3 linked regions of the Diceros bicornis minor genome follow. Each later gene encodes a partner of the first gene's protein in a complex. Links are inferred from orthologs where the notes say so. Each region holds a gene or a part of one and is shown on either strand. Other genes may lie near its edges.

Evidence for each region. The genes of interacting proteins can lie anywhere in the genome.
Region 2: the proteins of GNAI1 (region 1) and ADORA3 are in contact, whole or in part, in a cryo-EM structure (PDB 9EBH), measured with the Homo sapiens proteins. The link is inferred for Diceros bicornis minor from reciprocal best matches to the Homo sapiens genes GNAI1 and ADORA3. Residues at the interface, in NP_002060.4 of Homo sapiens: Arg24, Glu28, Arg32, Asp193, Leu194, Phe336, Thr340, Ile343, Ile344, Asn347, Leu348, Asp350, Cys351, Gly352, Leu353, Phe354; in NP_000668.1 of Homo sapiens: Gln44, Thr47, Arg108, Arg111, Val112, Thr115, Val116, Tyr118, Lys119, Arg120, His124, Ile204, Thr228, Ser231, Leu232, Lys285, Ile286, Lys288.
Region 3: GNAI1 (region 1) and GPSM2 share a complex: the UniProt entries of both Homo sapiens proteins name them as parts of the spindle orientation complex. The link is inferred for Diceros bicornis minor from reciprocal best matches to the Homo sapiens genes GNAI1 and GPSM2.

What each region holds. Positions count from the first base shown.
Region 1 is NC_080742.1:17,728,097-17,735,181, reverse strand, and holds the start of GNAI1 (guanine nucleotide-binding protein G(i) subunit alpha-1), read right to left. Parts: upstream 3,014-7,085; 5' UTR 2,734-3,013; coding exon 2,616-2,733; intron 1-2,615. UniProt on the Homo sapiens protein: Guanine nucleotide-binding proteins (G proteins) function as transducers downstream of G protein-coupled receptors (GPCRs) in numerous signaling cascades.
Region 2 is NC_080743.1:44,415,795-44,422,854, forward strand, and holds the start of ADORA3 (adenosine receptor A3), read right to left. Parts: upstream 3,009-7,060; 5' UTR 2,962-3,008; coding exon 2,612-2,961; intron 920-2,611; coding exon 313-919; 3' UTR 1-312.
Region 3 is NC_080743.1:42,058,540-42,065,518, reverse strand, and holds the start of GPSM2 (G-protein-signaling modulator 2), read right to left. Parts: upstream 3,009-6,979; 5' UTR 2,784-3,008; intron 1-2,783. UniProt on the Homo sapiens protein: Plays an important role in mitotic spindle pole organization via its interaction with NUMA1. Required for cortical dynein-dynactin complex recruitment during metaphase. Plays a role in metaphase spindle orientation.

The DNA.
Region 1 (7,085 bases):
CCACTACCCAAAGCTTTTTACTAATAATGTGTGTTTCATACCTGAATCTTTCAACCCAGATGTCTAAAAAGACAATACAGGCCGTAAGGAAAAATGCAATATAATGAACTATTTAATATATGTCTTAAATATATTTTAGAGGCTTTTTGCCTTAAATGAAAAAAAAAATCATGTGATGAGAAAAACAAAATAATAGAAGAGGTAGAAGACCTGATGTAAATGGAAGTGACCCTCGTTACAGATTACCTGGAAACCATTTTATATTCCTAGTTGATTCGGTTGCCGTGTTTTATATGGAACGATTCCACTGACTTGCTTATATATATGACGTTAAACATCCAGAAAAGAACCAAAGGTCAACACTTCCCGCTAAAGTCAAATCAGGGGAAAAAGAAATGTTTTCAAACATTTCAAGAATTATGATTTCCTAAATAAGTAAGCCAGTATTCTGTTTATAGGAACTAGGGTGCTAGAATTCTGGGCAAAAGGGTAGAGTTCAGTGGGAGTAAGACAGACACTGAGGGGAAGGAGGAGGAGTGCTGGGCCCACAAGCCAGGAATGCGGCAGAATCTCCACACAGAGAAGAGATGCAGGGAAAAGACTCAAGCCAGAGAAGACAGCAGACGGAACTCAGTTACCTAAAGATTTCAAAAATCATTTAGAAATCTTTCTGACATTACTGGCACAGAGAAACAAAAATTCCGCAATTTCTTCTGAAAATCACGACTCTGCTACACTTTCTCATAACTCTCTCTTATAGTTGGCTATAGAGATGCAACTTTTGGTTCTTCATTACACATTCAACTATATTTACTTATTAATCTAGAACAGTGGTTCTCGCAGAGGTTAATTTTTGCCCCCACAGGACATCTGGGGATATATGAAGACATTTTCAAGGGTCACAGGTTGAGGGGGCTACAACGGGTATCTAATGGGTAGAGGCCAAAGACATGCTCCCATCCTACAATGCACAAGACAGCCTGCACCACAAAGAAGCATCCTACCCAAAATGCCAACAGTGCTAAGACTGAGAAACACCGATCTCTTCTGAGTAGAAGCAAAACCCAACTTCCTGGACCTTTATCCCAGTCCGTCTCTCTCTAACAGACATCTAGTTAAAGCATAAAATAACACCAGAGGGTTCATTTTTCAACTGCTTTAAACATGGTGGACGGCTGGCTCAAACTAAGAGTCACACTACAATACACTGAAATAATATATCAGAGCAGGAGTGCAGAAACTGCAGGAAAATAACTTTTTAATCATTTTTTTTGCATTTTTGCCTCAAGTACATTCAATTCATAAGAGGAGCATCTACATGTTTCCATACCAAGGTGTGTCTCTTTTATGTTCAATACACTAAAAATACACTCCCCTCGTCAAAATAGGGTATTTCTTATTAATGTAAAAACTTAAGCAAACAGTATTAACTGAGAAAGATTAATGTTGGGGGTGGGGGTGAAGAAAGCCAGCCAGGTCTTTAAAATGCAAAGTTATTTCACAGTTCGCTCGAAAAATGACTCAGATCATTATTACTTTTAGTCACGCCAAGTTTCTGCTTCTAAGCCTACTAGTAACGGAGGAAAAAAACCACCATTTTTCCTGCAGTCATTAAACTAATGAAACAGAAGCTTGTGCAATATTTGCCTTTTATTATAACTGTTATAAAATTAAAAGCAACCGCTGAGAGTGCAAATTAAGATTGTAAGAAACCTTTCATCTACTTAAATACTATAGGGTGGGGGGGGGAAACAAGCAAACAAAAGAAAACCCTAACTCATACAACTACAAATCTTAGGCTGTGAATATTTCCTAATGTATCCCTCAGTCAAAACCCTGGCTCACTCTTTTTATGTTCTCTCCTTTCAAACAACTGGAAAAGACCTTCACACAGCGTTTCACTAAGAGAACAATGCTAAGAACAAATGAAAGCCTTGGCGAGTACCTGGCCAACCTCATCCATCCGAAAGTGAGGCGGCCAGGAGTGCCGTCTTCGGCGTGACCCTCTCGCACCTTTCCCATCGGCTTTCTCCGCTCGAGCATCTCACTAGAGCAAATGTTACCAACTCTGGTGGTTTCCGGGACCCCACAGTAACAGAAATGGAGCACCCAGCATAGCCTACTTTCTCACGGGGGGTCAATGCAATCAGTGCTCCCTTCACACTGACCGAGTCGCCGGTGGAGACACGCTGCAAGCCACGGAGGCCCCGCAGAAGGTGCGCTGACTTCACAAAGCCTGGCGCTCCTGCCCGTGGGGAACCACAACCGCGAGAGCGCACCTTGTAGGAAGGGTGGGGGGCTCTTACTGTGCGGGTGCCCTTCATCCTCACACGGCGGAGCTAACTCCAAAGAAAAGGGCTTCCTCGAGATCCACTCCTCGGCCCTCGGGGGTCCACACCAGCGCGAGCGAGGGAAGCGAAGCTCCCGCCCACCGCGGGGAGTCCTCCCCGGCCGAGGAGGGGGGACGAGGACCGGACACGCTCCCTCGGACACCATCTCGGGCACTACCACACGCGCCATCGGCGGCCGGGACACGTCCCCCGGGTTTCCGCACGCCCCGGAGTCCGCGCCCGCCCCCGCCGCCCCCCGGGCCCCGGGCCGGCGCCGGCCCTTACCGAGCAGCAGCAGCTTGACCTCGCGCGCCGCCTTCTCGCCGTCCTCGCGCAGATTGCGGTCGATCATCTTACTGCGCTCCACCGCCGCCTTGTCCTCGGCGCTCAGCGTGCAGCCCATCGTGCCCGAGCGAGAGCGCGGCGCCCTCCGGCCGTGCAGTCCCCAACGCAGGTGAGCGCTTCCTCTCCGGACGCGGGCGATCCACCCTCCCGGCGCCGGCCACCTCCGCCGCCCCTCCTGACCGGCTGGGAAGGCGCTGTCCACAAAGGGGCCGCACACCGCGCTGCTCCCCACGGCCGCTCCGCTCCCGGTGCCCCTCGGTGCCCCACAAGTCCGGGTGTCGGGGTTCTGGCAACAGCTACCGCCGCCTCCTGCCGCTGGCCGCGCCGCAGCCTCCAGAAGCCCAGGGAGCTGGCGTCCGCGCGCCGCCGCCGCCCCGCCCCGCGACCACTCCCGGAGCGCGCTCCCGCCCCCTGTGGCCCCGCCCCGCTCCGCCCCGCCCCCGGGCCCCCACCGAGGCCTCGCCCCTCCCACCATCCTCGCCCCGCCCACCCGCCCCCGGAGACCACTCCCACAGCGCGCTCCCGCCCCCCGCGGCTCCGCCCGCCCCCTCCGCCGGTCCCACCATCCCGGCCCCGCGACCACTCCCGGAGCGCGCTCCCGCGCACGTGTCCTCGGACAGCGGCCCCTTCAACGGGCGCGCGCCCCCGCGCGGAGGGCGGCCACCCGGGCGTCGCGCGCCCCTTGGAAGCGCCCTCGAAACCCGGAGCTGCCCAACGAGCCCCCCCATCTCGCTGCCTTCGCGGGCGCGGATAATTTCTCCGGGTTTGCTCGCACCGAGGGAGCTGTGCGGACCTGCCCCTTCGGGCTGCGGGTGGGAGAGCTGCCAAAGTTGGAAGGGGAAAAAAGCCCGTCCTGGGCGTCTGAGCATGCCCAGCGCCGGCAGCAGCGCGAGGGTTTCCGAAACGCAAAGCCCAGTCGGCCGGCCTCCTGGGCTGTGGAAAATAGAGGGAGCTGGGGAGGGAACGGAGCCGTGGCGAAAGCAGAGCTGGGGATACGGGGGAATAGAAAAGTCTGCGGAGGAGGATAGGAGGTCAGCTTCCTCCCTTCCGTGTTCCTTTCCTTCCTTTCCTCCTTCCATCCATTCTCACGTTTCTTTTCACAAGCAGAGCACATTTGGAAGGATTTCCTCACGACCTGAGAAAATGTGAGACAAAGAATCAACGAGTGTATTTTAAAATGACAAGAGCTATAAAACACACCCACACAAACAAATCTGCTCTCCTCTGGGGCGGCATGTAAGCTTCCGAGCCGAGTTTGAACCGATATTTATGACCATGTGAGTAAATCATAAGCCACTGGGCACGTCATTCCTTCTTGCAGGCCTTAGCTTCCTTGCCCAGAAAATGAGGAGTTGATCCACACCATCACTCCATCCTCCCAGCTGTAATGGTCTGGGGGAGATCAGCTCCTGGGGCCTGCTGAGGCATTCTGCTCAGCATCCAATTAGTGAGCATAGGTTTAAGTTCTGGTCTGTTCCTGCCATTGTCACTGCGCACTGCACCTTTCCCTTACATACATCTCAGGAAATGTTGTTTGCGTAGAACATGGGCTTGGTAGCAAAGAAAAATATCTTCTTTGATGTATTAAAATTTAGGAAATTGGTCTTTGGTTTGCATCTGGAAGTCTTATTTTCTAAAAGCCATTGGTAAAACTGGGCTTGAGTTTTCCAGTGTGAGGCTGAGCTGATGCTACAGTCAGAATAGCTTTAGAGCGGGTCACGTAGGCCAGGCCTGTGGGCAAGCAGAGACTGTCAGTGTCCTCCCTACTGGACGTGCCCTTTCCTGTTCTCCTACAAAGCTGCTGGGCTCAAGGGATGCCATTTCAAGAACTGCCTCAACTGTTCATAATATAACAACAAGAAGGAGCAAGCCTTAAAGTGTACTTAGTCACCTTCTACCCTCTTTGTATTTCTTGGCACTCTAAATGATAATGTTCCTCAGAAACTCTGGAATTAAACTTGATGGAGTGAACTTTCAACATAGTGTTTGTGTATTAGCCATTTTGGATTATCTGTTATTGTCTTTCCTATAAGCTTCAGGCCATATAGAGTGTGGGACCTACAATGACAGGAAAAGAGGAAGCAATCATAACTGAGTACTGGTGGAAATGATAAAAAATTTGTGTTTTAAAGAAAAGAAATTATAACAGAATTATACACATTACCCCTCTCATTTGAGAAGCTTATCAAGTAGGTGAGGAGGCAAAATATAATACATGGATGAATAAGAACTGAAAAGAGTTCTGTGAATAAGAACATAGCTTTATATGAAGCTAAACTTCTGAGAGGAGGCATAGGAATGGAGCGATCAGTATGAGGGGAAATTCGGAGAGAAGAAAGTTTTGAAAAACCTTTTGAAGGAAGAAGAAAGCCATGACTGGGGATCTTTGTGGAATTCCAAGGGGTATGTATTGGTCAGCTTGGGCTGCTGTAACAAAATACCATAGACTGTTTGGCTTAAACAACAGGAATTTCTTTCTCACAGTTGTGGAGGCTGGGAAGTCCAACATCAAAATACCAGCCAATTCATTTCCCCAGTGAATACTCTCCTCCTGGCTTTCAGATGGCCACCTTCTTGCTGTGCCCTCACATGTGGAGAGAAAGTGCTCTAGTCTCATTTCCTCTTCTTATAAGGACACTAATCCCATCATGGGGGCCCCACCCCCATAACCTTATCCAAACCTAATTACCTCCCAAAGGCTCCACCTCAAAATAGCCTTATATTGGAGTTAGGGCTTCAACATATGAATTTGGGGGGGACACAAGCATTCAGTCCATAATAGGATATATTTTGTTTGAGAGGAATAACCAGCTAAAAGGGTTAATGTGTAATGTACATGTTAGAGAAAGCAGTTGTTTTGTCATTGAAATGTAGTTTGGCTGCGAAGAATGATAGGAAGTGTGGGACAAAGTTGAAAGAGAGCTTTAAATATTAAGGTGAAGAGTTGGACTTTATACAATGGGTACTAAGTGTTCCTTACGTTCTCCTGAATTGGGTAATAGGTATTTAAAAAAAAAATCTCTTACCCAACAAAACAAGTGAGTTACCAGCAAGTAGATTGTCTTAGTAATACCGTATGAGGTGGCAAGAGTCATTCAAATTAATAATTTACATAATTATGATGTTGCAAAATGTGATTCAACAATCTTGTCAAGGAGGTAGAGCAGATATATTAACTCATCAATGTTGTAGAGAATGAAATTGAAATACAGAGGTTAAAGCAATCTACTTCAAAGTACTGTTTTCCCTTCTGGACATCATATTTTTTAAACAACTATATTGAGATGTAATTCACACACCATATAATTTATCCATTTAAAGTGTACAATTCGGTGGCTTTTAGTATATTCACAGAGTTGTACAACCATCATGACACTCAATTCTAGAACATTTTCATCACCCCAAAAAGAAACCCTGTACTCCATAGCCATTATCCTCCAATCTTTCCACCACCCCCGCCTCATCCCCTCAAGTCCTGGTCAACTACGAATCTACTTGCTGTCTCTACAGATTTGCCCATTCTGGACATTTTATATAAAAGGAACCATATAGTATGTGGTCTTTTGTGACTGGCTTCTTTCACTTAGCATAAGGTTTTCAAGGTTCATCCATGCTGTAGCATGTATCAGTACTTCACTTCTTTTTATTGCTGAATTATACTGAGCATCATATGTTAAGAAAATTAGAGACATGTTAAAAGACAAATTGGGACACATTCAGCTGAGAGCATCTAAATCTTAAAGTAACTCCAAACTGTGTCATAAGAAATAATTGAAGAAACTGGGGATACAAATGAGAAGGTACAAAGAGACATGATAGCTATTTCCAAATGACTGAAGAGATATTGTAAATCAGAGGGAATAGACATTTTCTGTGTGGATTCAAGTGGTAGATTTAGAAGTAGTGGAAGAAAGCTATAGCAAGAAATTTTATCATGATGTGAGAAAAAATAGTGTACAATTCCCCACAAAGGAAATAGCGCACCTCAGAAACTCACACATTCTTAACTAAGATGTAACAATCTAGACTAGATGGTCGCATATTGGGAAAGATTTAGATATAGAAGAACTTTTAGGATCCCTTCCAACCGTGAGATTCTGTATTATTCAGAAGTCAAATGGGATTAGTGTAAGAACTGAGATTAAAATTAAGAAACTGCTGGCCTCCAACCTTTTCCCCACTCATCCTGCCATCAGAAAAACAAGCAAAAGTGGGAAAGGAGAGTTTATCTGAGATGTGTTGGCTTGGTATGTTGATGGATTAGTGTGGGGAGAAGAGGGAACCATAGAAGAAGACAGAGTCAGGACAACCTGACATGTATACACACACAGAAAGAGAGAGATCAGAGGGCAGTGTGTATCTTTGGCTGGATAAATTGGGAGCAGATGTGGCATGTGGACACCTCTCCAT
Region 2 (7,060 bases), on another chromosome or scaffold:
GAGGCATCCTTCAGATTCCATGACTTCTCCTCCTGTTTGGGAAGGAGGAACACAGGCAGTAATAACTACAGAACATTGTCCTCAAGTCAGGCATCCATAAAATTGAATTAGAGAAGGACAAGGAAAAAAAATAGAATTAAAGGAAGAGAGTAGTAGGAAAAGTAAAATTGGAGGCAGCGAGCCAAATGTTCCCCACCTCAGTGGAAGGAATCAAGGATGTGAAAGCCTCTGGCCCAGGTGGATAGGACCTCAAGTGTTTGTTGATGCTGAATCTGAAGGTGAATGGGATGGAGAGTCATCTCTCATGGCTAACTACTCAGAAGTCTGCTCAATGCTTGGATCCAAGGAATCAGAGGATTGGCAGATCATACAGGCTTTGAGGATCAAGAGATAGGTTTCCTTGAACTTCTTTATTTTACAAGCATAGACGATAGGGTTCATCATGGAGTTAGCATGGGACAGCAGGATGCCCAAGTACATCACAATTTGTGGTACCTCACCATTAAAGTATATGATACAGTTGATGATGGATAAAGGCAGCCAGGACAAAGCAAACAAGAAGAGAACCAGAAACAGAGACTTGGCTGTCTTGAACTCCCGTCCATAAAATGCTCCTGTCTCTTTGGAGCCAGAAAAGTTCAGATTGAGTTTGTTCCGGATGACGTAGAAGATGTCAAGATAGATGGCACTCATGACAACCAGGGGGATGAAAATCCAAGTGAAGAAGCTGAAGTAGACCATGTAGTCCATCCTCACGACAGAACGGAATTGGCATGAAAGGAAGGTGACATTTCTGTAGTACCCGGAGGTCAGTTTCATGTTCCAGCCAAACATGGGGGTCAATCCCACCAGGAATGATACCAGCCAGCAAAGGCCCAGGGCCAACCATATTCTTCTTTGAGTGGTGACCCTCCTGTATCTGTTTGAATGGAAGAGAGTCAGTGAGCTCACAGCAGGAAGTGCTAAAGGATGGGGGGAGCTGGGACTGGAGAGCATTGGCATTCTATGGTGATTTCAGCTGAACTCTGCTGGATATGAAGACAACAGGAGCAGACAATGATTGGAGAAAAATCCAGCAAACTTCTCTGGGGACTCTTCTAAAGAAGTACTATCTAGAATGGATCAGGAATATGTTGCCTAGAGTCACGTGCTTGCACGCACCACTCACAGCTCTATTTCCAGCCCAAGAATTCTTCAATTCCTGGGAGGTAAGAGTTATCTAAGTCCCTAGAACCACCTACCTGGTGAGAAATGATCCCCTCAAAGCACGTTTGCCTCCTGTGCTCAAGTGTTTATTTTGGCTATTGTGCTGATGCCCATAAATTATACTATGCCTCTCCCTCTTTTCCCCTCAATGTGTGCATGCCCCCATGTCTCTGTTTGCACCGGCATCCACACTTGATGTTTAGTCTATGGAGTTGCAAAGGTCGTGTTGAAGTGCTTCTGGGACCTTCAAAGCCTCATCCAATGAGAGTCACCATTTCTCCTTAAACCATCCTTCCTGACAACATCCTATATAGACTGGAAGAAGGAAACTGATCTCGTTAAGTACTAACTATGTACTCAGTAGACTTTATCTCAAAGAAATCCCACAACAAACTGGAGATATTTTATGATAATCTCCATTTCATTAATGGTAATAGTGAAAATAATAGTAGTTATAGCTACCATTTATTGAGCATCAACTGTGTGCCAGGCATTTTTCTAAGAGATTTACATGGGTTAACTCATTTACTCGTATGAGGAAGGTGTAATTATTATTCCCATTTTATAAGTGAAAAAAATGAAACAGACAAGTAAGTAACTTGTGCAAGCTAGAAGTGGTGGAGCTAAAAGTGAAAAGAGGTCTGAGTTCAGAGCATCTTAACCACTATGAGAAGATGAGAAACTGAAGCAGAGAAAGTTAAATAACCTGCCCAAGATCAGATCTCAAGATCTAGGTTTTGAACCCAGGCTTGTTTGTATCAAAAGCTTGTTTGTAGCTCCCTCACCAGGCTCTTTCCCCGGGAGGAGGGAGGAGAAACATGAGACAGGAGGAGACGCAGTTCAGGACACCTGGGCAATCAGATTTCTCCATTTGGCAGGACGTTCTGTTCACATGGTCACAGGAAAGGTTGTTACTACTTTTTGCAAAGGAGAAATCTTTTGACCCCCTTCTCAACATGGAAGAGGAAGCAAAGTTAAAATAACTTTACAATAACCTACATTGGCCAAGAACAGAACCATCAATTTAGCTCCTCTTATTCTTATGTGTCTGCTCCTTATCTTATCTAGTAGATTTCTATCATTTCTAAAAGCCAAGAGCATTTTTTACTAATTAAAAATGCATCAAGCTTTCATCATCTTTAGCTTCCTCGGGGGATCAAACGTACACTCCCAGAGTCAGTGGAGAGCGATGGGAGCATTCTTCTTTTTCTAGTTCCCGAATCTCAGCTCATTGTTGCTAAACCTCTCACACACCAAATGGTTAGAAGAAAGTGAGTGCCCTCTTTCAAGTGCAGAGGCCAACTTGGATTTGTTTTCACTCAAAGAGTCTGGGATCTGAACTTTGTAGCCCCACTTCCCAGGCACCTCTATCACTGCCGCACACCACCCCTCTCAAGCAGGTTACCTGATTGTGAGCTTGACCCGCAGGTATCGGTCCACAGCAATGGCTAGCAAGGACATGATGGAGGCGTGGGTGAAGACCAGTAGCAGGCAGGTCATGAGAAGACAGCTATAAAAGTGGGTCGTGATGCCCAGGCTAACGACAACGGCCAAAGGCATGACCAGGACGCCAACAGCAATGTCAGCCAGGGCTAGGGAGACAATGAAATAGAAGGTGGTGGTCTGCAGGCTAGGGTTCAGCTTGACCACCCAGATGACCATCACGTTGCCCACTATGGCGCAGAGCCCAATGAGAATCTCCACAGTGATGTAGGTAATGGTGGCCAACGACAGGGCAGTGCTGTTGACAGGCATCTTGCTTTCCCAGAGGAGCCTCCCAGGAGACAGGCATGCCAACAGGATCCGTGTGGGCCAGCGAGCCTAGCTCTTGCCAGACATCTTGCCAGAGCTCCAGGTGCAGCAGCAACAGTCTAAAACTCACAACTTAACCATTCCTTCTCTTCTCTGGTGGGGGCTCTCTTAGAGGACTCCTTCTCCTTAGAAAGATCCCATCACAAGGCAATTACTTCCAGCCCCTTTGCAGGCCACACATCCCCGGCTTCCTGGAATCCTGGGGGACAGTTCTATGTGGGCTGAATCTGAAAGTGCTGCTGCTCTTAGTTCCCCAGACAGACACGCTCAAGGCCTCTGCCTTCCCCTGCCTCCGTAGGGCTACTCAAGCTCCATCAAGATAAGCAGCCCTCTTCAGGGGTGTTTCAGGAAGTGAGATGGGCCAAGAGGAAGCACAGAGCCAAGAACACTCAGCAAGATGGAAAGAACAGAGGAGGGGGTGTGAGTGGCATGGAGAAGGCTCAACATTCATTGACTCAGGGACCGGATGAAAGTGCAGCACTGGGTGGGAGAGGAGCTGGGAGCACTGACTGCGTAATATTCTGGCTTTCTGCTAGCTTAGCACAGAGAATCAAAGGGAGACCACAGAGGAACAAGCAATAGACTTTGGTGGCAGCCTCTAACCTTAGCCAGAATTTATTCTTTCTTAATGCATTCAATAGGCTGAATGTTTGTGTCCCTCCAGAATTGATACATTGAGATCTGATGCTCAGGGCGATGATATTTGGAGGTGGGGCCTTTGGGAGATTATTAGGTCATGAGGGTGAAGCTCTCATGAATGGGAATAGTGTTCTTAGGAGATCCCACAGATTTCTCTTGTCCTTTCCACCATCTATGAACCAAGACGTGGGTCTTCATCAAACACGATTCTGCTGCTGCCTTGATCTTGGACTTCCCAGCCTCCAGAACTATGAGAAACAAATTTCTGTTGTTTATAAGCCATGCAGCCTTTGGTTTTTTGTTATATCAGCCTGAACAGGCAAAGACAGTGCAGAACAGCAAGCACTGAGAATTCGGCCGCATGAGTTGACTCTTTGCTGGGCACAGCTGGAACCCAGCCTTTGTATCAAAGATCTTTTGCCAAAGGGATAAGCTAAGATTCCCTGCTCAGAAGAGCAAAACTTCAGCACCTCCCATAAGCACCACAGCTGCTGACCCTCCGTCTCCCCTTCTCCGCCCACATACCCACCAGGCCTCCACACTAGCAACCAGCCTGTGTCAAATCTATTTGAGGAACAACAGGACAACAGGATAACCAGCCATGCAGAACAGAGGGAAAGGGTACCATGTGCCCATAGTCACATGGCATACCCTCCTCCCCTCGTGCCCCGCCCCCCACCCCCACCCTGCAGGAACAAGTGTCTGCTGGGAATCACACCCTGTCCCTGAAGTGGCTCACCTGGTCTCAACTCCTGGGAACCAGACACTTGAATGCAATCGTTATTTGGGGTACCTAGTTCAAGTGTTTCTCAGTGACGCCCAAAGGGGTTATTTAGAGAGACAGCAAAAGGAACAGTTGGACCTAAGCCCACACAGTGGATTGAAGGGTTTATAATATTTACCTTACACACCAATCTATGTACAGCCAAAAATAAAATTCAACGATAACAACAGTGTCATTCTGTTGTTTACTAACACTTTTCATGGGGCACCAGCGAGATGCCTCAGCACGGGGCCTGCCAGGGTCTTCTTCGGTTGTTCTGCTTTTACATCACCCACTGATCCCCCGCCGCATCCCAAGTCGGCCCAAGTCTGTCTGAAGCCTTGCTTATCCCCACTAGACTTGCCATTTCGCCCTGAGTGAACTCCCCAGGCATGAAGGGGGAGCCCTTTCCAACTGCATTTCTGTGTCTCTGGCACTTTTCGGTGTTAGCTCTACCCACATCCCTGCACTGTGGGAACTTGTGAGGCTTTGCCAGCCTCTAGTGTGGCCTCTCATGAATGTCTCTACTGCCACTGCTTTCTTTATCTCTGCTTGGGAGAAGGAAGCCACAGAGAGTGATTTCTAAGAGGCTGCGTGCTACCCACGCAAGTGGTTCTCACTAAAGCAATCGCTGAATCTTAGTGACTCACTGTAAAAAATGTACCCTCCCCTTGACCCTCAACCACCAGTAGCACCAAATAACCTTATATAAGAGAAAGACCCTCTGGTGTAGGGACGAGTCCTATTGCCTGGTTGTGGCAATTGTACAGCCAAGGAGTGATTTCCTGGAGGGCGTGGCAGCCCCAGGTCTGCCCTGGTGGCCAAGGCCGGAGGGAGGGGGCCCGTGGCAGAGAGGAGCACAGACGTTTGTTCTATGTTTGAGAGCTGGACAGACAATGGACAGCTCCTGCATTTGGGAAGAAAGAGAGAGGGGCCCTTGTGTGGTTATGGGCCAGAAGCTGGTGGGAGGGAAAAGGCGGTGGAGGCCAGGAAAAGTGCCCGAGCGATGGATCCAGCCCACCAGAAGTGGACCGAGGTGTTAGGGACAGATTTGACAGCTGGAGCTGGAAACTGACTGGCATGTGTTTTTGGATTCTTGCCCCTTTCTTCTCCTTTAGGACCCAGGTGACTCCTCTTGGGACCAGCCCATCTCAGCTGGTTAGAGACAACAAAGAGAGGGGTTTTGTCCAAGCACTAGTCACAAGAGCAGCGTGCTAGGGAGAGGATAGCCGTGAGAGAATAAACCACAGGATGATGGAGAGGCGGGGGACACACCTGCAGCCACCAACCTTGCCACCTCTTCCCATATGGGAATTCTGTTTCCAGAATTCTCTGCACATATCTGGGGAATTTCCTCTCTGTGAACATGGGAAGCCCTGTCCTTACATTTTCTGAGTAGAGCCCATTGCCTGCTCAGGGGGCAATTTGAGGGGTGAGGGGAAAGGCTTTCACAGTCACTTAACATTTTGGCCTAGGATGGGCCCTGAGTGTCCTTTTCACTCTAGATTGAACACCAAAGGGCAGTGGGGCACAGAGGACAGAGAGGCCACGGTGGCCTGTCACCTCACTTATCCATTCCCCCACCAGAACCCACAGCCAATCTTGGTTAAGTAAGTTCCCTTATCATCTCTCACATAGAGACGCCTCAGCCTCCTAACTCATCCCCAGATGTGAGTCCCCCCACAGCCTCCAAGTTGCCCCCATTCTTGAAATGGCGATGGGGTCTCCCAGCCCCCACAGTGTCTTGCTGCCTGGTTTCCCCGGAAACCATAAGCGCCCCCATGCTGAGCACTGGCGGCTCTGAGGCCTGCTCTTTCACCTCTGCTCCCCTCCGTTCCCCGCTTTTCCAGTTAGGAAAGCCCTTCTCCGCCATGCCCACCTAGAACACAGGCACTTTTCCTTCAAGACTGTTCTCAAGCAGAACCTTGAGTAAACTTCCCAGACACCGCCCCCTCTGGGACCCCAACATGCTGTGTTTATACAGCCCTCCCCTGTTATCCTCTAAGCTCATGGAGGGCAGGGACCTCCACTTCTCATCTCTGCATTTCCAGCCCCCATCACAATGCCTGGCAGAGAGAAGGCGCTCAGTATACTGAGAAATGAATGAACAGAAAGGGGCCTCAGTGAACCAGGGGCCATCAAGTCAGCATTGAGTGTATAACACCAATAAATCAACCAGGGCCTCTTAAGCACTTTCCATTATATCAGTTACTAATATTAAGCATTTTACTTACATGGTCTCATTCAATGTTCTCTGATGACATAGATACTATCAACTGTTACTCAGTTGAGCAAACTGAGGCTCACAAGTGTTAAATAATTTGCCCAGGTTTGCACAGCTAGGAAGTGGCAGAGCTGCATTCAAACCCAGGCTCCCGGCTTCAGAGCCCAGGTTCTGACCCCCAGCCTTTGGCAGATGAATGAGCAAGTGAACCACCACACGAAGCTTTCACAAGTACAAAGAGGCCCTGGATTTGACATTGTCATATTATCAACAGGAGGTTCTAACCTTATATCTGGAAAAGAAATTGGCGACCAAGACTATGGGGACAGAGCTCAAGTGCAACATGGGTCCAGCTCTGAGTCAAGAAGAGATGGAGGAACAGGAGAGACACTTGTACGAGGCCACTGGTGGGGCTG
Region 3 (6,979 bases), on another chromosome or scaffold:
ACAGAAGGACTTTAAAAAGGCAAAACTGGTTTCAAACACAATTTTAAGCAGAAATAAATCCCAAATGCAAAAGGATTATAAATGCCTAAAGAGGATCCCTAGAGACTTTGAAGTCAGAATTCTTCATAGGAAATATAACTCCGTCTTCTCCTTCCAAAAGTTACCACCATTCTGTGGAAAAGTTCAAGTCAGTAATGTTATGAGATGATACGGGAAGAATAATTCTAAGTAAAAAGGACGAAGGACAGCTTTGAGGAAGCAAGGAAATCTGTACTGCATCTTGCAGGATGGGTAGACCTTATTAGGCAAACGGAGAAAAGGCAATTCCAGCACAGGGAAATGGCTCAAGTCAAGCAAGGGGATGGGAATGCACAGAATGCACGTGTGCCAGGACAAGCACACTGGGTCAGGAGTAGAGAAAGAGAAGTCCAAGAACGCACTAAACTGTGAGGGACTCTGAATACGTACATGGCTGAAGCACATATTCAACCCTATATTACATAATGAGGAACCCTGTAATTTTTTCAACAAAGGAATAGCAAAGTTAGATCCGTGTTAGGAAGATAAACTGTCAGCAACATATGGGGCAGGACAGGGAGACTGATGAAAGATACTGTAAAAACTCCAGAAGCAACTACTGCATAGGAAGCCTTCTCTTGTCATCTCACAACACCAAGCAAACTGCTTTGCACATAATCGATGTCCAACAAACTTTTTTGATTTCTTGCCCGTAAAGAAGATAAAAACTATGAAGCGGCAAAGAATCCTATAATAATGAGAAAACCGGCCTTTAGTACGTTTCTGCTCCACAGTAAAGAATATATTCATATTCATGTAAATAACTCAGGAAAGTCTTACTCTTAATTTTTTACTGTTTTTATAAAGATGATTAAAAGGATTTGTGATTTATAAGGTATTGAAAGGAAGACAGAAGTCCTAAACTAAGGACTGAAATATTTCTGCATAGTTCACAACAAGACACAGCACCTACAGGCATCTTAAAAGTAGGATTATGTCCTTACAAATGGAATCCAGAGACCTGGAGGAGATTTAAACAAAGACACAGACGCGATACAGCATGTGCTTTGGGATCAGGCCACGGTTTGAAGCCCAGCACAGTAACTTAGTTATATGATCTTGAGCTAAACTCGCAGAGTTGGTTTGGGCATAATGATACTTATCCAACACCAACATGTGTTGTGATGATGGGAGATCTGATTTATAAAGCACCTAACCCAATGCCTGGCTCTGGTACTTAACGAAAGTACTCAAAGTATAGTAGCAATAATAATAATAGCTATTATTATTATTATAAAAAAGAACATGTCTATTAGAATAGATTTAGGATAGTCTAAATCTATACCAGATTTTCAATTTTAAAATTCCAGAGATTACTAATTACAAAATTTTATCTTTTAGGTAAATCTTAGAAATATTTTATCCTTAAGAACGAGGCCATTTTAAAAACGACTATATCCTATCTGTGTTACAATTAGCCTAAGTACCAAGTCTGAGATTTATATTAAAATATAATATTTGTAACACTGCATGTCTGATTGAATAACAGAAGAAAACACACCTAAACTGCTTATCTAGCCAAAGAGGATTCGGAGGAAATGCCTCTCAACAATATCACACAACTTTTTACTTTGTATCTGCTCCACTCCTTACATTGTAAAGAACAGCCTGAGAAAGAGTTTGTCAGAACGAATCCACGGTAAGGTGTAAAGAAGAGTAGGTATGAGACTGTCCCTCAGCCCCTGAGCCCTCACACACATCCATGTCAACCAACAGTGATCTGCTGCTTACTCAGTTCTAAAAATCAACCACAGTTGCTTCTTGAAAAGTGACAATTCAAGCAAAAGTGGTATTTATCAGAGGTAATCACACTGGCGGCTATCAGGCTGGAAATCTTCCGCGCACCATTCTAAAGTGGCAGCCTGAAAGTTCAGCTCGGTCGGTACATCAACCTCCCACACCCACGACGAGAGACTCCAACACAAGCCGAAGAAAGCAGAGCCAAGAGCCTACTTCGTTTAACTCCACGGTAGGGTTTAATTATGCATTAAGGCAAATAAAATTTCCATCCTTACTCCTATTCTTTAACGGAGTTCAAATGATACTAGTTAAAATGATCTAACTGGTTACCATCAAAACAAGGAAATTACACATTTTCCACTTTTTACTATTCGAAGATATTCTATAGGTTTTCAGCAAAGGGCTTTCTTAACATTCCATGCTTACTAAAACTTTTTGCAGCAACTACCAATTTTTATGGTAAATCGACAGGCTGGTGTCCGAAAGATCATGAATTTAAATATTGTAAACGCAGGTGTTTGACAAAAACTGCCTGGTTTAGACAGCAGCGCACGACTACAAGTGACTGCAATCTGCCTGGGGTCTAATTCCACAGGGATTCCGATTTTTCAGGTTTGTTACTCACACTGAGAATACGTGACAAATCACTGTATCCTAATATACTTTTTATTTAAAAAATACTAGGGAACTTTTTATTTAAAAAATACTAGGGAACGAGGCTCGTAAGCTTTACTCTCATTTTAAAACGTCCACCAGAAAGCAGCTGAGCGCTCGTCCTGGACGCAGCTGTCCCTCATCCCGAGTTTCTGGTTTCTCCACTCGCGTCCCCGCCGACCACCCCCGGCTCCTCCCGCCCCGAACAAAGGCGGTCGCCCCCAGACCCTGGACACAGAGCCCGTCCCACACACGCCCCCTCCCTGTCACCTCCCGCCGCGGGGCGCCCTCAAACGCCCCTCAGAACTCACCTCCCGCGGGCCGGCGAGTCCTGGGAGCGCGGGGGACGCGGCGAAGCTGCAGCAGCGGCCGCCTCGGGCGACGGGCGGGCGGCGGCAGCCCCTCCACCAGGCGTGTCAGCGCGCCACGGGCGCCTCGCCAGGCAGGGGCACCGCGGGAGGCCGGCGCGCGCCCCCCGACCCGGCCCCCGGCGGGTCACGTGGGCCAGACCTCCCTGGACTCGCCTCGCCTCCCGACACGTCCCACCGCCAACCAGGGGTCCGCAGCGCCGCCCGCTCTTCACCGCTCCCCTCCTCTGCGCCTGCGCCCCGGCTCCAGTCGCTCACATTCAAACAGACACCGCCCCGCGACTTTCGGACCCGCCAATGGCCGGCGGTGGGGCGGGGCGGGGCGGAGCGATCGTCCCCGCGCGGCCTCCGCCGTCCTGGGTGGGTGGGGTTCTGCGTGTCAGGCTGAGGGGGGCGTTGGGTGATTCGGTCCTCCGCTGCTCCGGGATCTGCCCTCCAGCACCAAATTGAAGTTTCTTTCCCGTCGTCGTCTTTGTTCTTCAGACACTGAAGGGTGGAGCGATAAATATTGTCCAGAAAGAGGTCTTCGGAGGGGCTCTTGTCCAGACCCCTTGAAAAGACGGGAGCCCAAAACCAGTGCCTCCTGCCCTTAGGACTCGGTCCTGGCCCAGAGAATGAGTATCCCAAGCGGCATATGCGGGATGTTTCAGAAAAAGAGGGCTCTGTGAAAGGAACAGAGGGACCCGTGTGGAGGTCTGAACAAGGCAGCCTCAGTTCTTGAGGCTGTGTCACAGTTCTGGCGTTTCCAGCTGTTAAAAAAGCAAACTTCTGTTGACTGCAGAATCGCTGGTTCCCAGCAAAATTGGGTAGCCGTTTTACTCAGTTTCAGGCAGCTACATTCCAAATACACTGGGAAGAATAAGTTTTATTTCCATTCACTTCCTCTCCATATCGAGTTAACAACAAATAGATCTCAGTTTGTTTTTCTCAAAAATTCCAAGACTTGTCTCTCTGGGCTAAAGAATTTGACGAATTTAATTAGATTATTTCTCAGGTAGGTGTTTCTACAGGCTTAAGGATATATTAAAGAAACCCTCGGTTTCAATCTCTCTGTGAATGATGGCCACAACCAGTGATCCAAGCAGCCTTTCTCTTATTGGGAACATGTTATGGCAAATTGGTTAAAATAGATTTGGCATCAAACTAGACCTGGAATTTGAGTTCCTTCTCTGCCGCTTACTGGCTGGTTGACCTTGAATGAGTTACTTATCTTCTTTAGCCTTAGTTTCCTCAGTTGTAAAATATAGATAATAAGTCCTCTTCTAATAAGGGTGGTTGTGATGCTTCAGTGATGTAAACATTGTTAAGTGGTTAGCATAGTGCCTGACTGCTCAATAAATGGTGCCTGTTGTTAGCAACAACTACCTTTAGTAGCAGGTTCTTATAAACAACAACTGAATCAGCTGGCTGTACTATTCAGAGGTAGGTATTATAATTCCTTCTTACTCATAAATTCTTTTTTTGGGTGTTAATATGAAAGCCACAAAGGAAGTACAATATATCAAATTCAACATGTTCAAAATGAATCATTTCCTGCAAATCTTCTCTTACAGTGACTTTCTATCATTGATATTGATCTCCATCTTCCCAATTACTCAAATTAAATTATCTTTTAAAAGGCATAAATCAGATTATGTCCCTCTCCTACTTGAAAATCTTCAGTGACTTCTCATTTGATTTAAAATAAAATCTAAATTCCCTACCATGGCCCCCAGAGCCCTAAGTCATCTTGCCCTGCCCACCTCTCTACTCTCCTTTATTTCCCTCTCCACCTGGCTCACTCTAAGTACACAAGACATTCTTCAGGCCCTAGAACAGACCAAGCCTCAGGGTCTTCTCTCTGGCAGTTCCCTCTCCTTAGATTTTTTCCCCCAAGCTCTTTAAATAGCTGCCTTCTTTTCATCCTTCAGCTTATCCATTGCAGTATTTAGCAAGTATTTATTTAAGTTTCTGCTATGTGTCAGGAACTGTTCTAGGTGCTGGGAATATAGTAGTGAGCAAGACAGAACACACCCCCTGATATCATGGAGTTTAATAAAAGTAAACAACGAGAAAAATATTAGGTTGTGATAGGTACCATGCAGAGAATTCAAAGTAGGATTATGTGAGAGTGGGTGACTGAATGACTACTTTAGATTGAGGGTCAAGGTAAGAAAGGCCACTTTGAGAAGATGGTGTCTAATTGAGATTTGAATTACACAAGAAGCAGCTAGCCTTCAAGCAAAGCTCAGGAAGACCACATTAAGTAAAGAAAACAGCTAATGCAAAGTCCAGTGAGGACAAGCCTTGTGGGTTTGAGAAACTGGAATAAGGCCACTGTGGCTTAAGTGAAGTGAAGGAGAGAAAAACATACAAGATGAAGTCACACCAGATCATGCAGGCCTCTGTAAGCCAGGATAATGAGCTCAGGCCTTATTTTCTAAATTTTATAGTAGCCAGTGGAAGATTATGAATATAGGAGTAACTTCATCTGATATATATATATAATATATTTATATATATATAATATATTATATATATATAAATAATATAAAAAATATATATAAATATAAATATTATATTTATATATATAATATATAATATATTATATATATTTATTTAATTTATAAATTATATAAATATGTTTATATTTTATTATAATTTATAAATATATTTATATTATATTTTATATTTTATTCTTATATTTTATATTTATATTATATTTTATATATTTATATTATAATTTATAAATATATTTAATTTATAAATTAAATAAATAAATTTATATATATAATATAAATATATATATATATATATTTTTTTTTGGTGACAAAGATTGGCCATGAGCTAACATCTGTTGCCAATCTTCCAGTTTTTGCTGAGGAAGATTGTCCCTGAGCTAACATCTTCCTCTATTTTGTATGTGGGATGCCACCACAGTATGGCTTGATGAGTGGTGCATAGGTCTGTGCCCAGGATCTGAACCTGCGAACCCCAAGCCACCGAAGCAGAGCATGCGATCTTAAACCATAACTTAAACTTATGCCACCAGGCTGGCTCCTGATTTTTATTTTTTAAAAGCGTGCTCTGAATCAAATCCAGAATTTGAAACGTTCTACAAGGTGACTAGGCCAGACTCTTCGTAAATGTCACTGTCATGAAAAACAAACCAAAAAAAACTACATGAATCTTGATGGAGTCCTGAAGCAGAGAGAGAGAAGGAGAGAGAGAGACTATAAAAGACATTTAAGAACAATTGGGGAAATTTGAATATAGACTGTATATTAGATGATATTATGGAATTATTGTTAATTTTCTTAGATGTGACATGGAATTATGGTTATGTAGGAGAATTTCTTTATTTTTAGGAAATGCAAGCTGAACTATTTAAGAGTAAAGAACCATGACTTCTGCAACTTATATTCAAATGGTTCAGCAAAAGACAGAGATAAAGAGAGAAATACAAACCAAATGTTAACAATTGGATTTAGGTGAAGATATATATAGCATATATATACTATTCTTGTACTATACCATTCATATATTACTCTTTTACATTTTATTGAAATTTGGAATTTTTCAGAACAAAAAGTAGAAAAGAAAATTACTGCTAAAGACTGAATGTTTGTGTTTCCCCTAAACTCACATGTTTACGCTTAATCCTCAGTGTGATGGTATTTGGAGATAGGGCCTTTGGGAGGTGATTAGGTCATGAGGGTGAAGCACTCATGCATGGGATTAGTGCCCTTATAAAAGAGACTCCAGAGAGAAACCTTGCCCCTTCCACCATGTGAAGATACAGAGAGCAGATGCCCTTCTATGAAGTAGACACTGGATCTGCGGGAACCTTGACCTTGGACATCCCAGCCTCCAGAACTGTGAGAAATAAATGTTTTGTTTAAGCAATCCAGTTTATGATATTTTGTTGGCCCAAGTTGACTAAGACACCAACTTAACCCAGACCCCAAAGATTTCCATAGAGAAAGTTCCAAGAAATGTGAACTTTCAATCAAATCACAAATCATACAAAGAAATAAGGCATCTTATACAAGAATTAGCAGAAAAAACAGATAACAGAATCAAACTCATAAAGACATTGAAACAAGAATTACCAGTTGTAAATTATAAATATGTATATTTGATATATTTAAAGAAATAAA